3 linked regions of the Sus scrofa genome follow. The protein of the gene in region 3 purifies or fractionates together with the protein of the main gene of each other region. This does not show direct contact. Links are inferred from orthologs where the notes say so. Each region holds a gene or a part of one and is shown on either strand. Other genes may lie near its edges.

Region 1 (4,206 bases), about 69 Mb from region 3:
GAGGACATGGACTTGGTCTGTTTCCTGCCTGGATCTCCCTGCCTCCCTTCAGCACAGGCTCAGGTGCCCTGCTACCTGGTGGTGGATCCCAGGCTCAGAATTACAGTCACGTCCATGGGCCTTCCCTGACTCCCCTCCCTACACACAGCACAGGTAAGAAAGCCTCCGGTAGAGCAGGGGAGAAGGGAGACATGGAACCAGTGGCCTGATGTTTTACATTCAGTTGGACACAGAAAACCTGCTGCAGACGTGGCTCCATGCGGCCTTCTGTCCCCGCACTGCAAGAAGACACGTGCTCTCTCCTCTGTGCAAAGTGCCTCCCTGCCAGCAAGACACTGTAAAAACTAAGGGTTTCGCTGGCAAGTTGTTCATCAAGTCACTGTGTTTGTAAGCTTCCACCTGTGGAAGATTAGCTCTCACCTTTGAAGATGAGGTGCCAGAGGCTCAGCCCCACCCCCAGAACCAGCACAGCTCTCGAACCGGTTCCCATCACCCCAGCCAAGGCAGAATCCTACCTGGAGGAGGGGGAGAGCCTGGCTGCTGGCTGTGATGGGCTTTCTGGAGCACAGACCACCCAGGAACCAGACCAAAGCCTGAAGCCTGCCAGGTGAGCATGCTGGGACCTGGACACACAGAGTCCTGCTCGTGCTTCTGAAAGACGTCTCTTGTCCCCATGACGAACAAGAGGAAAGCCCAGCTGGGAGCAGCATCTCTTGCCACAGACCAGCAGCTTTACCTGGAAAGGACCAATGGCAAGGGCTCCTGACCCTACAGCTGTCACCAGAGTGTGGATCTCTCAGGGTCAACTTGCCACGTGCTAAAGGCTGGTTGTGAGGAAACACATGCCTAGTATGGCAAATGCTAAACTAACAATTGGTGCCGTTTTACACTCTCTTTGTTAAAGAGTTCTCGTTGAACATATTTTAAGTGCATTTTGCTTCTAGTTTAAAAGAATGACACATACGGATTCCAGGTGATGTATGAACTGCTTCTTGAAGCGGCTACCCTGCCTGAGGCATGTCCCTGCCAGCCCAGGCCACAGAGGGGGTGGTACAAGCCTGGTCCCACCCTGAGTGGGGTGGCAAAGGGTGTCCCTTGAGCTAGGGAATCTCAGCAGTTCTCACTCTCCCAGAAGCCACGTGGAGTCTGGTGGGATGTCAGGCAGCAGTGCCCCCAGGTCAGGGGCTGGAGGAGAAATGGTCAGCCTTTAAGGACCCAAGTTCTCTGCCTTCTGGAAAGTGTGAGCGTGTCCAGGGGCAGGTGGCAGCAGGGGACACTGTCCTTCCACTTCAGGACATCCGGTCCAGAGGGTGGGCACAGATGTAGGCTCGCTTCTCTAGGACCTGCTGGGACACTTTCTTGATCTGTTCGTCTAGATTTTCTGGAGAACCTGGGAGAGAAGAGAGTGGCCTTTCTATGTTGTGCAGTTTTTCTAACCACATAAGGCCACTGCTAGGAGGGAGTGCAGAGGTGACAGCTCCTCCCCAGGAAGTGATTCTGGGCCTCAGGGAGAAGAGGGGATAAAAAGCCCCCCTCAGCAATTCAAGCCTGTCAACTCCCCTTCCGCCGCAGCCACCATAGCAGGAGCTAACAGCCCTTCAGCACAGAGGGGCCGCCAGAGCCCAGAGGGCACAGAACCCTGTGCTCCTCCCTGGGTGGGTCAGATGGGGCGCAAGGAGTGAGGAGGCCAAAGCCAACACCTGCCGCACCTGCTGTGTGCGCTCCTGCTGGCAGCCTCACTTGGTGCAGACATCTGTGGGCACAGTGCCCTGGGAGCCCCGTTCCCCTGTCCCCAAGCCACCCACTTACATTTGTCCAGCTGGGACAGGGTGAAGAGATTCTGGTGATAGGCTTCCGTGCAGAAGATGTTGGTCAACAGAACCTGGCAGGACCCAAGGCATAGAAGTGGCTGCTGAGGACTCAGATCTCTGGGCCTTAGGACACGCCCCCACCCGCCCCCGCCCCCGCTTGACTTTCGAGCCTCTGAAGACAGTCTGTCAGCCAAAGTAGGCAGCTTGGCCAGAGTCAGGCCATGGCCTTAGATTCTGATTCCAGCCTGAGCCAAAGGGACTCTGTCTCCAGGGCAGGTCACTCAACCTCCCTGAGCCTCCATTTCCCCCTCTGTGGGAGGGAATCATAATTCCCACAGCTCCGGGCTTCTCAGACCAAAGTGCGTCAAGACACGCGTGTACACAGCAGGTGCTCAGGCTGCACTGCCCACCAAGAGATGGGGTGAGGGAGCTGGATGTGGGGCCCCGCCACTCACCCTCCCTCTTCTCTCAGGCAGGAAGATGAAAGGCAGTGGCCTCATGTCCTGAGCAGCAAGGACCTGCCCATCAGAGCTGAGAGCACTGGACACAGCCACAACTCTCCAGGTTCGCCTTCATCCCTCTGGGGACATGACCCTGGACTCGCACAGCAGCCCCCTCCCCCCACAACCACCACATCTGATTAAAATGCAGCATGACAAGCCAGCAGGGAAGCTGCCTGTGGGGAGAAGCGGGGGGCTCTCACCTCGTGGTCATGGTTCCGGAGCCCCATGCGGATGGAGCGGGTGGCCCGCGACAGCACAGCCGTCATGCCATACAGGTTGATGAGGACGTTGGCCACTCGCTTCAAGATCAACTGCTCCTCCACGATGGTCTGGGAACAGAGGGCAGGGTGGAGACTCGCCACCTGGGACCTCCTCACACAGGCCCTGCCCTGGGCCCCTCTGCCGTCTCTGAGCTTCATGCACTGCCCTCCCCTCGGGCTGTGGGAGGCTGGCTCCCGGCGGCTCTGTGCAAATCTGGGCAGAAGTCAAGACAAGTCCATGTCCCGGACACCTGGCTGAGACTAGAAGCCAGGGCTTAAAGTCACTTCAGCAGCAAGAACCTCACAGAACAGGTCCTGAGATTCAGGCCCAGGTAGGGCTGCCTGTCCTGCTCCAAGAAGCCTCTCTGCACCCAGAAGATGCCCTCCCAGCAGGGGTCTCCCAGCCCTCCATGGAGACCAAGATTCCCTCCTAGGCTTGGTCCCACTTGGATGTTGGCGCATCTCCCTGACCCCAGGTACCTTGCCAAAGCGAAGCAGCAGCATCTCCACTGTGCGGCCGAAGTAGTACACGTTCTCCTCGAGCTTGTGGGCACCGTCCTGTGGGCGGGGGGCTCTGCTCAGCATGGTCCTCCCGCAGTCTCAGGCCCTGCTACCAGGCTGGGCCCTTCTCCACCCGGACAGGGCGGAGACGGGGCATCAAGCAGCCCTCCCCAAAACCCCCGTTGCACCTCTTCTGGGAAGGGGACACCGATGGGGATGTCCACCTGCTGGGCCCACTCACCGCAACACTGGGGTGCACAGCTCCAAGCTTCCCTGTCAGCCCCAGGTCTACGGTTCGGCCAAGGGAGTCCCGAAGCCTCCGGCCAACGGTCTCCATGACGGTGGTCACATTGCCCCGTTTCAGCTCCCTGCAGGGAGCCCACGGCCCTGTTAGCTGAGGCATCAGTGCTCAAGCTCCCTGACTATGCACCCAGAGGGCCGACTCAGGACCCACGAGGCCCTCCCCCCACCAGCCCTCAGGGAGCAGCCATCTTTGACACGGAGGACTGGGTCAGGCCAGCTTCCAGGTCATCCTCCCCTGCAGGGCCTGGGCTCCAGCAGGATCGCCAACTGTTGCTGCCCCAGGATGGGGGTTGGGAAAAGAGACACTGGTCCTGCGTCAGCCTTGGAGCCACTGCCTGTTTGGGGGTCGCCTCTCACTGCCCAGGTTCTGAAAGTAGCTCCCTGCCCCATGGGAGTGGGAGCTGCAGGGAACGGGGGCAGTGTGACTGTGCGGCAGGGGACAGGGCCCGTCCCCTCCCTCCAGCCAGCCAATGATAGAGCTGAGCACTGCAAGCCTGCGCGGCCTGGTCCCCGGATGAGGCAGCCCCCTCCTCCTGCTGCACTGGACGGTTCTGCCAGGCAGGGGGACCCAGGGGACGGTGGAAGTGGCACCTACTTGACCCTTGCAGTCAGGGCGCGCCCGGCGTGCTGCAGGCCTGTCAGGGCGATGTACATCCGGAGAATCTCGTTGGTTCCCTGTGGGCAGCGTTCCCTGAGTCAAAGGCTGCCCCCAGCAGGGCAGCCCTAGCAGTGCATGTGTGTGAGAGGCTAGGCCAGGTACTGCCTGCTAACTCTTTGAGAGCAGCCAGGAGCAGGGCTGTGAGCAGGGGCAAGGGCGACACGCAAGCT
Region 2 (5,405 bases), on a different chromosome or scaffold from region 3:
TTGTCCGGGTCCCTCTCTGGGCTTCTCTTGGGGTATAGAGGAAGGGCATGAGCCCTCCCGCTCTTGGGATTGTGGAGGAGGAGCTAGATTCCGAACAAGGGCCACCGAGGCCCCCGGCATCGAAAGAATTGGGATGAGGGGAAGGGCGCGTGCGCAGCGGTGCGCGGCGGCTTCGCAGAACTCCGGAAGCGCGCTTCTTGCGCGTACGCTGCGCTTGCGCAGTGCTCGGGGCAGCGGGAATAGTGGGAACCCCGGCTTCTAGCCGGAGTCCCCAGCACGCAGCCAGCCGTTGCGCGCTACTTGGCCGGCGGAGGGCCTAGCCGACGGGCTGAACTGCAGCAACTCGGCGATCAGGGCCTTGCAGCGTTCGGACAGCTCGAGGCCGTCAGGGTAGAGAACGCCGCGCTTCTGGCGCCTGGGCAGGCCAGCGATATCGGAGTCGTCAAAGGGCATACACCCGGTGACCATGACGTAGAGCACGACGCCCAAGCTCCACACGTCGTACTTCTTGGGGTCGTAGGGGATGCCCAGGAGTACCTCGGGCGATGCGTAGGCGGCTGAGCCGCAATATGTGGTGCTTAGATCCGGGTAGCCGTGCGCCTGTCGGCCGAAGCCGAAGTCGGTAAGCTTGACGCGGCGCTCATCAGGGCTCAGCAGCACGTTTTCGCACTTGAGGTCGCGGTGCACCAGGTGGTGGTCGTGCAGGTAGCGCACAGCACCGGCGATCTGCGCGAAGAGGTCGCGCGCCTGCCCCCCTGGGATGCGCCCGTTGCGCTGCACGGCCTGCAGTAGGTCGGTGGCGGCCGCCTCCATCACGATGTACAGCTTCCCGTTGCACACCTCGATGAACTCGAAGACGTGCACGATGTGCGGGTGCCGCACGCCCCGAAGGATGGACAGCTCTCGTGGCAGGAACTTGTTGACGAAGTCGGGCGGCGCGCGCCGCCGGTCCACCACCTTGATGGCCACTGTGCCCTTGTACTTCTTGGATGTAGCCACCTTTACCTTGGAATAACTGCCCTCGCCTATTGTGCGGCCCAGCTTATAGCCGAGTTCGCTCAGAAGTTTGTCGCCCGACATGGTGGCGCCTGGGGCGCGTGGGGAGCAGGAGACGGCTGCTGTCGGGGGGCGGCCGGACTCCGATCTCGGGCCTAACCCATGGCGCTTGGCACCTGCACACCCGCACCCCCATGTGCCCACTCCCGGGCCCCCGCCGCCGCGGTGCCTTTTATTGCCCAGGTAACAATTTCTGCCTTGTGAAGTGACTGCGGGCGTCACCCCGCCTCGGGGTGGGGGCCCCCAGACCCTGTCCTGTGGTGCTCCCTAAGACCGTAGGGCTTTGTGACTCATAATCGCTCCGAATGGTTCAGTTCCTGATGAGAGGACACTATCAAGGGGTCCCTACCACTAGAAGTGGAATCCGTGCCCAGGATTGGGGCAGCTCATGGCGTCCGAAGCTGAGGAGCAGCCGACCCCCAACTTCATGTGCCCAGCCCAGACCCTGAGGAGGCCCCCCAAGGGGAGAAAATGGGAAAGAGACCTGGCTCCATCCGGCGCTTGGGGATTGTCTGGTCTGCACGTCGTCTCATAGGGAAGGTGAATGGGAAGTGCTTTGGTGCAAAGACCCTGGCGCCCTAGCCTGTTGAGGGCGTTGACATTGATTGAGCCACGCCCTATTTGGGAGCCGATACTCTTTGGCTGCAGCTAGGCGGCACAGTCATTGTCCCGCCCAGCTGCCGGAGCTTTACCACGCGCTGGGGTAGGTGCAGCAGAGCGCCAGGTTTCCCGGCTAGGTCCTAGACCTGCGCGGCAGCTTCCGCCACGCTCCTTATGGTGGAGGCATACGTTGTGTAACTTCCTTTCCCGACCGGAAGTGCAAGGTACTGCAAGTATGGCGGCATCGAAGGTGAAGCAGGACATGCCCCCACCAGGGGGCTATGGCCCTATCGACTACAAGCGGAACCTCCCACGTCGAGGACTGTCGGGTCAGTGTCGTCCTGTGCCGGGGTGTCAGGGTCTAGGCCCTCTGGGCGCCGCGGCGGGGTTGGGACGCGGGGAGTCTAGCGCGCCTGCTTTTTCCCCGGGATCCCAGATACCTTCACTAGTGACATTAAGAACAACTGCTGCAGTTTGTTCGAGCGTTTACCAAGCCCTTTACATCTTTCTCGTTAACAGCCCAGGAGGCCAGTCCTGTTAATTATTCCCACTTCGTAATTAAACAGATTAATTTTTTAACCCGTGCGGAGAGCCTTCCGCCACGCTCTCGGTTCACTGGTGGGGAAACAGACCCGAGAGAGGATGTGACCTCCCACCAGGGCCATCCAGAGCAAAGCTGGGGCTGAAACCCGGAATACTGAGGGAATTTTAAAGATGTTCTGTGCGGTGGTTCCTCGCTGGGGGCCCCACCTGCAGGATATCCCAGGAATATGCATCCTTAAAATTTTTTGTTGGGTAAAATGTAAGAGAGAAAGTAAAAGGCACCCATACTCTGCACTCAGGATTAACGGAGAAATACAGAAAATGTAAAGAAGAGTTAAGAATACTTTGTTGTAACTCATTGAACTTTACATTTAAAAGTGCGTCCTGTGCACATTTTGCCTCAATTAAAAGGCAAAAAAATTCATAGGCAAAAAAAGTTCTAATTCAGATAGTGAAAAATTCATGTACTCAAGTCCTTCTCTGCCCTTTCTTGGCTTTTTTGTAATGTGGAACCAAGGTTGACAAACTTTTTATGTAAAGAGCCAGATAAATATTTCATGCTTTGCTGGCCAGGTGGTCTTTGCTGCTACTGCTTTACTGCTTTACAGCTTTACAAACCCAAGTGTTCCTAGCCAGAGGGCTATAGAAAAATAGGTTACAGGCTAGGTTTGGCACCACATGGGCACTCAATTCGCACCACATGGGAACTCAACAAGCCAGTACACCCCTTGAGTGTGTGGCATGAGGTTTGTCTATACATGTATACTTTTTTTTTTTTTTTTTTTTGTCTTTTGTCTTTTAGGGCCACACCTGTGGCATATGGAGATTCCCAGGCTAGGGGTCTAATCGGAGCTGTAGCCACTGGCCTGCACCAGAGCCACAGCAATGTGAGATCCAAGCCGTGTCTGCGACCCTCACCACAGCTCATGGCAATGCCAGATCCTTAACCCGCTGAGCAAGGGCAGGGATCGAACCCGCAGCCTCATGGTTCCTAGTTGGATTCGTTAACCACTGAGCCACGACGGGAACTCCATGTATACTTTTATGACATGCATCCAGACCAGGCTATGTAGGGATCCCAGCCCTTGGGTCTTCCTGGGATCTCCACAGTCAGCTTCTCTCTTTTTTCCTTTTTTTCTTTTTTTTCAGAACCACACCCATGGCATATAAAAGTTCCCCGCCTAGAGGTCAAATCAGAGCTTGCAGCTGCCAGCCTACCACAGCCACAGCATTGCTGGATCCCAGCTGGCATCTGCAACCTCCAGTACAGCTTGTGGCAATGCTGGATCCTTAACCCACTGAACAAAGCCAGGGATTGAACCCATGTCCTCATGGATACTATGTTGGATTCTTAATCCACTGAGCCACAACGGGAACTCCAGTCAGCTTCTCTTTTATTTTTAAATCACAAATGTGGCCTTTATCCTGTTGCTCTTCCAGTTCATGACCTAGAAGTGCCTCCCTCCCATGTGCCCTAAGTAAACCACTGCCTGGGATTGGGTCTCCTAATCTCAGCTCATTACACCTCCTTTTGTTGTAGCATATACAGACCCACCCCATTCTTTCCTGGCTGCAGAGCTGTAGGGAAGATATTCCCTTCTGGAGTGTGGTCTTTGTTTATGTACCTACATTCAGTAATTATTGAGTGCATCCATGGTGCTGGGTTCTTTCCTGAGGAGCTCAGGATCCAGCTGAGGAGACAGACACATCACTCCATAATTTCCCGTTGTAGCCAATGGAAAGGCCTGCCAGAGTCCCTGGCCAGAGTGGGCTGAATCACCTCTCTGAGAAGGAGTTTCCCAGGCAGAGGGAACCGCAAATGTAAAAGCCCTTTAGGAGTTCGCATCATGGCTCAGCGGTTAACGAACCTGACTAGCATCCATGAGGATACAAGTTTGATCCCTGACCTTGCTCAGTGGGTTAAGGATCCAGCATTGCCATAAGCCATGGTGTAGGTTTGAAGACACAGATTGGATTCTGCATTGCTGTGGCTGTGGCATAGGCCACAGGTACAGCTCCAATTAGACCCCTAGTCTGGGAACCTCCATATGTTGTGGGTAAGGCCCCCCCCCAAAAAAAAAGAAAAAAAGTAAAAGCCCTTTACTCTGTCCTGTGCCTGCCCTCATTCTCTGTCCTCCAGGCCCTCCTCTAGCCTTGCCTCAAAAGTGCTCTTGTCAAGGCACTGTGATCGCAAACTTGGCATGCTCTCCCCCTTCTCTCCAGTTACTGCCAGCATCCCAGAATGTGTGGCTCAGGCCACCTTTAGTCCACTGCTCCCAATATAACTACTATTACCACCTTTTCCCCTCCTCTCTCATGCCCAGCTCTCCTTTCTCCACTCCCTCCTGTACCCAGCAAGTGGCCCTTTCTTTTCTTCTTATGTCTTTTACATTTTTATTGAACTGTACCATACAATTCACCCATTTCATATGTACACATAACTGAGTTTTAGTCTATTCATTGTTGTGCAACCATCACAACTAAGTGATGGCACCTAATGAATCTTCAGAACTTTGAAAATGTTTACAACATTTTCATCACCCCAAAAAGAAATCTCATACCCATTAGCCATTACTACGTTCTTCCCTCAGCCCCTGACAACCACTGATCTGCTTTCTGTCTCTATGGATTCACTTCTTCTGGACATTTCATATAAATGGAATTGTTTACTATGTGTATTTTTTTGTCTGGCTTTTCTCACTGAACATGTTTTTAATGTTTATATTGTATGTTTCAGTGCTTCGTTCTTTTTTTCAGGCTGAATAATATTCTTGTATGGCTGGACCATATTTTATGTATCCATTTACCACTTTATGGTCATTTGAGTTGTTTCTAACTTTTGGCTGTTAAGAACTGCTGCCATGAACATTCCTGTACAGGTTTCTGTGTGAGCATTTGTTTCCTTTCTCTTAGGTGGAGTGGGATTGCTGGGTCATATGGTAACTCCACTTAACATTTTGAGAAACTGCCAAACTGTTTTCTAAATTGATCGTACCATTTTACATTTCCACCTGCAGTGTATGGGAGTTCCAGTTTCTCCACATCTGGACAACACTGTTACTCACTTTAGCCATCCTAGTAGGTGTGAGGTGGTATCTGAGTTTTTTAGTATATTTTGAATATCTTTCTCTTATCAGATATATGATTTGCAAAACTTTCTCCCACTCTGTGAGTTGCCTTTTCAGCTCATTGATGGTGTCATTTGC
Region 3 (4,570 bases):
CTTTGCAGAAAGTGACTGGAGGAGTATGGTGGGGACAGAAGTTAGCTCTAGTGATGCTGACCAAGGATTTGTAAACACAGGCTTTTTTTTTTTTTTTTTTTTTTCCTTAACCCAGTGAGCCACAATAGGAACTATGGAAACACAGAATTCTGTAGGCCTGGAGGAAACATTAGTGAATACTAGTCCTTTTTTTTTTCCTTTTTTACGGCCACACCTGTAGTGTATGTAAGCTCTCAGGCTAGGGGTAGAATTGGAGCTGCAGTTGCCACCACAGCCACAGCCAAAGCAACACTAGATCAGGGCCGGTATCTGCAACCTACGGCAGAGCTTGTAACAACACTGGATCCTTAACACACTGAGCAAGGCCAGGGATCAAATCCGCCTTCTCATTGACACTATGTGGGGTTCTTAACCCCTTGAGCCACAATGGGAACTCCACGAATACTAGTCTTACCAATGACAGGGTACTGAAGTTCTGGGAGGTGACCTGAATTGTAAAGGCCAAGGCTAGAACCCAGATTTTCCTGGCTCTGGTACTCTTTTCCTTCATCAATCTAGCTCTGTGCTATTAACTGGTATGTGTACACACACACACACAGAGTTAAAGTGCTTCTGGAAACAGTTTAGCCAGTATCAATCTTCTCTACCAGGTTCAGGAGGAAGTAGAGCTATCCAAAACTAATTTCCTCTGATATGTAATGCCAATGACTTATACACTCCAAAGCAATAGCTGGGTTGGAGAGGGTGGTTAGTGTGGGTTAAAGATGCACATTCTGGAGTTCCTGTTGTGGCTCAGTGGGTTAAGAACCCAAATAGTATTCACAAGGATGAGGGTTCAATCCCTGGCCTTGCTCAGTGGGTTAACATTCTATTGGTTCACATTGGACTGATAATTTCCTTAAATAGCTTTACTTTAATTGCATTTATAAAATATTTATGAGGATGTTCTCAGTTAAAATGAGATAGGTTTTACTGTGTGTATGTACTAAAGATTAAGCTGTCTTTAGAAGAAACTGCTTAAGGTAATGAAAAAGAGCTTCCACAAGGCTTCTTTAGATCCCTAAAGTGGCTTTTCCTCCTTGGTATTTTTGGATCATTCTGACATCAGCAGAGAATTGAAAAGAAAGAAGTGGCCAACTACTGTTCTTATGTTACTTAACTCATGACTCCTCTTTCTCTAAGTGAATCTTACTTAAGCTGGGGCAACTAGACATTCTCATTTGAAAATCTAGAGTTGGACAGCAAGAGTTGACCAAGTTTCTCAAATGTGGCTGGATTTAAAATGTTTAATTTTGACAGCTAAAAAGGGACCAGATTATGCTATATAGTCTAAAGAACAGAGGTATATGTTTAAATAGTTCCTCACAGAACAAAGTTACTGAAGAAAATATGGGTAGTAGACTGACAAAAGTGTAAGGTAAGGAAACAACCATAACAACAACAACAACAACAAACAGGAATTGCTGCCTTTAGTTAAGATTCATAATCCTCGGACATGATCAAAAGGAGACCTTAAGAAGTAATTAACCACAAAACAAGAGACAAACCCAAGAGACAGCTTATTTGTACTTTAAACAATAAATTATAGTAAATTATTACTTATTACATTTAATAAATGTATTAGTACTACTTTCAAAATTATTTTACTTCTATTATTTTGATATTTTTGTGATATGAATAAAATTATTTTAAAACCAACCATCTGATAATTTATAATTTCTAGTTTAAAGATTTAACCTGTATGGGGGTATGAATAAAATAAACCGACTAACTGCCAATTTGTTACAATTTATGAATGGGATGATTAAGAAAAACATGCTTTTTGGAGTGTGGCAAGAATATGTAAATCGTGGTGAAAATACATTGGTGCAGATGTTCTCATATCTCTCCCCCCTTTTTTTTCTTTTTAGGACTGCATCTGTAGCATATGCAAGTTCCCAGGCTAGGTGTTGAACTGGAGCTGCAGCTGCTGGCCTATGCCACAGCCACAGCGACACCAGATCCGAGCTATATCTGCAACCTACACAGCAGATCCTTAATCCACTGAGCAAGGCCAGGGATCAAACCCGCATCCTCATGGATACTAGTTGGATTTGTAACCACCAAGCCACAAAGGGAACTCCAGGTTCTCATACAATTTTAACTGCTAATATCTGCAATTAGATAATGTCCTGTGTGCCACAGCATTGTGTTATGCTCTACACATTTACTACCCATTCTGGGGTAGATACTGTTTCATTTGACAGAAAACTCCAGACTTAAAGTAAAATGGCTGTGCTGTAGGTCACATGGATGCAAAGACACAGGGCTAAGACTGCAAGCCAGTGCCCTGCCTCCAGAGCCCCCAGTTCTAGCCAACACTCTAGGCTGCTTCACAAATACTGATCATGTGAAAGACTTTTTTTTCTTTTGGCTGCACCTTCAACATGTGGAAGTTCCCAGGCCAGGGATCAAACCTGTGCGGATGTTGTGGCCTGTACTATAGCTGCGGCAATAACGGATCCCAAACCTGCTGCACCATATGGGAACCTCAAACGCTGCTCATGTGGGCAACAGCATTTTCACTAAGTTTAACCCCCAAACAAAGCACAAGCAGTTTTTACCCCTCAGTACACTTGACTCAGTCATCCCCCCCCACCCCCTCATTTAGTAAAAGTTACAATCTGCAGGGCAACTTCCTTTTCCTTCTCAGGCAGCAAGCTCCTGGAGTGCAGAGACTAAGTATCTATTAATCTGAGTAACTCTTGCATATACAGCAGAGATACTTTGTCAGCAATACTGAGAGAGGAAATAAGGTCTGGCCTAGCCACTTCCTTTTTTAAGTTTTATTTCAAATGGCATGGGAACCATCTTTGATTTTTACTGAAACAAAACCAGGAGTTGCCATTGTGACTCAACAGGTTAAGAGCCCAACATAGCGTCAGCGAGGATACAGGTTCAATCCCTGGCCCCAAGCTGCAGTGTAGGTCGAAGATATGGCTCAGACCTGGCATTGCTGTGGCTGACGCTGTGGCAGCAACTGTAGTTCCGATTTGACACCTAGCCTGGGAACTTCCATATGCTGCAGGTGAGGCCCTAAAAGAAAACAAAACAAAAAAACCAAGCACTACTACACGTCTGGCACTTACTGTTTCCAGGAACCCAGGGCTTCAGAGACCATTTGCCTTACCTAGTTCTTTTCTTTTTTTTTTTTTTTTTTTGGCTTTTTGGCTTTTTGCTATTTCTTTGGGCTGCTCCCGAGGCATATGGAGGTTCCCCGGCTAGGGGTCGAATCGGAGCTGTAGCCGCCAGCCTACGCCAGAGCCACAGCAACGCAGGATCCGAGCCGCGTCTGCAACCTACACCACAGCTCACGGCAACGCCGGATCCCTAACCCACTGAGCAAGGGCAGGGACCGAACCCGCAACCTCATGGTTCCTAGTCGGATTCGTTAACCTCTGCGCCACGACAGGAACTCCTTACCTAGTTCTTTTCTCCCCTCTTCCTAGTGATCCCTACAGTAACCTACAAATGTCAATTTTTAATCTGTAGAATTCAATTTTAATCTCTAGGGAAATTCTAAATTTACTGTTGTAGTATTGAGGGAAAAGAAATTTAAATTGATCAATCAATATAGATACACGTATGTGTTTAAATTTATGGATGAGTAAACTAAGAATAGCCCAATTCTTGCTTGTTTTTTTTAAAAGATAAGTCACTGCCACTACAGATGCCAGTGCTTACATTTGTCAGCAGCCCAACCAACCACCATTCAATGGACATGGTAACACATAGCTCCCTTCAACTCTCCAGTGAGTCCAGAGCATTTTCAATCCTAGTCTTGTTTATTTGTTGATGAAGGGTTTCTAGGAAGATTCAGCAGTGTTTCAATTTTCATAGCATCATCCTTGGATTGATTTTTCTGTAAACTGCTTTCAATTTCTTCAGGGAGGAGCTCAGTAAATTGTAGTCTGGCTTTCCTGTAATCAAAGAATAAGAATATATCAAATATTGTTCCTTTTTTTTGGTTCTTAGACTTTTTTTATTTTTTATTATTATTATTATTTTTTTTGGTCTTTTTGCTATTTCTTTGGGCCGCTCCTGCGGTATATGGAGGTTCCCAGGCTAGGGGTCGAATCAAAGCTGTAGCCACTGGCCTAGCCAGAGCCACAGCAACGCGGTATCCAAGCCGAGTCTGCAACCTACACCACAGCTCACGGCAACGCCGGATCGTTAACCCACTGAGCAAGGGCAGGGAGCGAACCCGCAACCTCATGGTTCCTAGTCAGATTCGTTAACCACTGTGCCACGACGGGAACTCCTCTTAGACTTTTTTTAAAAGATAGTATTGTGTCTTACTCTCCCTTACAACTCCTGAGCAAACACTGACCCTTGCATTTCAAATACAATGACTTTCTTCTCTCTCCTAACCTGTTCCACTTATAAGCCGAGTAGAATTCTCTCATTACCAAAACGGACATTGCTGGAGCAGAAGCTCTGATTCTTAAGATACGCCAGAATTTTTGCAGGGGTGGCACGCAGTTGCTGAAAACCCTGGGCTAAGATGTGAGCTTTGAAACTAGACTGTCCT

The links.
Region 1: the proteins of TIMMDC1 (region 3) and ACAD9 purify together in Homo sapiens (affinity purification with mass spectrometry; 3 studies listed by BioGRID and IntAct, counting the BioPlex papers as one, with this or other methods). This does not show direct contact. The link is inferred for Sus scrofa from reciprocal best matches to the Homo sapiens genes TIMMDC1 and ACAD9.
Region 2: the proteins of TIMMDC1 (region 3) and NDUFA13 purify together in Homo sapiens (co-immunoprecipitation; 3 studies listed by BioGRID and IntAct, with this or other methods). This does not show direct contact. The link is inferred for Sus scrofa from reciprocal best matches to the Homo sapiens genes TIMMDC1 and NDUFA13.

What each region holds. Positions count from the first base shown.
Region 1 is NC_010455.5:71,419,154-71,423,359, reverse strand, and holds the end of ACAD9 (acyl-CoA dehydrogenase family member 9, mitochondrial), read right to left. Parts: intron 4,054-4,206; coding exon 3,974-4,053; intron 3,444-3,973; coding exon 3,317-3,443; intron 3,133-3,316; coding exon 3,055-3,132; intron 2,644-3,054; coding exon 2,515-2,643; intron 2,475-2,514; exon of another isoform or gene 2,319-2,474; coding exon of another isoform or gene 2,284-2,318; intron 1,883-2,283; coding exon 1,810-1,882; intron 1,391-1,809; coding exon 1,290-1,390; 3' UTR 968-1,289; downstream 1-967. Other genes in the region: uncharacterized protein KIAA1257 homolog, read left to right, coding at 149-348. UniProt on the Homo sapiens protein: As part of the MCIA complex, primarily participates in the assembly of the mitochondrial complex I and therefore plays a role in oxidative phosphorylation.
Region 2 is NC_010444.4:58,406,797-58,412,201, reverse strand, and holds the start of NDUFA13 (NADH dehydrogenase [ubiquinone] 1 alpha subcomplex subunit 13), read left to right. Parts: upstream 1-1,787; 5' UTR 1,788-1,891; coding exon 1,892-1,985; intron 1,986-5,405. Other genes in the region: TSSK6 (testis-specific serine/threonine-protein kinase 6), read right to left, coding at 259-1,080. UniProt on the Homo sapiens protein: Accessory subunit of the mitochondrial membrane respiratory chain NADH dehydrogenase (Complex I), that is believed not to be involved in catalysis. Complex I functions in the transfer of electrons from NADH to the respiratory chain.
Region 3 is NC_010455.5:140,727,287-140,731,856, forward strand, and holds the end of TIMMDC1 (complex I assembly factor TIMMDC1, mitochondrial), read right to left. Parts: intron 3,960-4,570; coding exon 3,815-3,959; 3' UTR 1,273-3,814; downstream 1-1,272.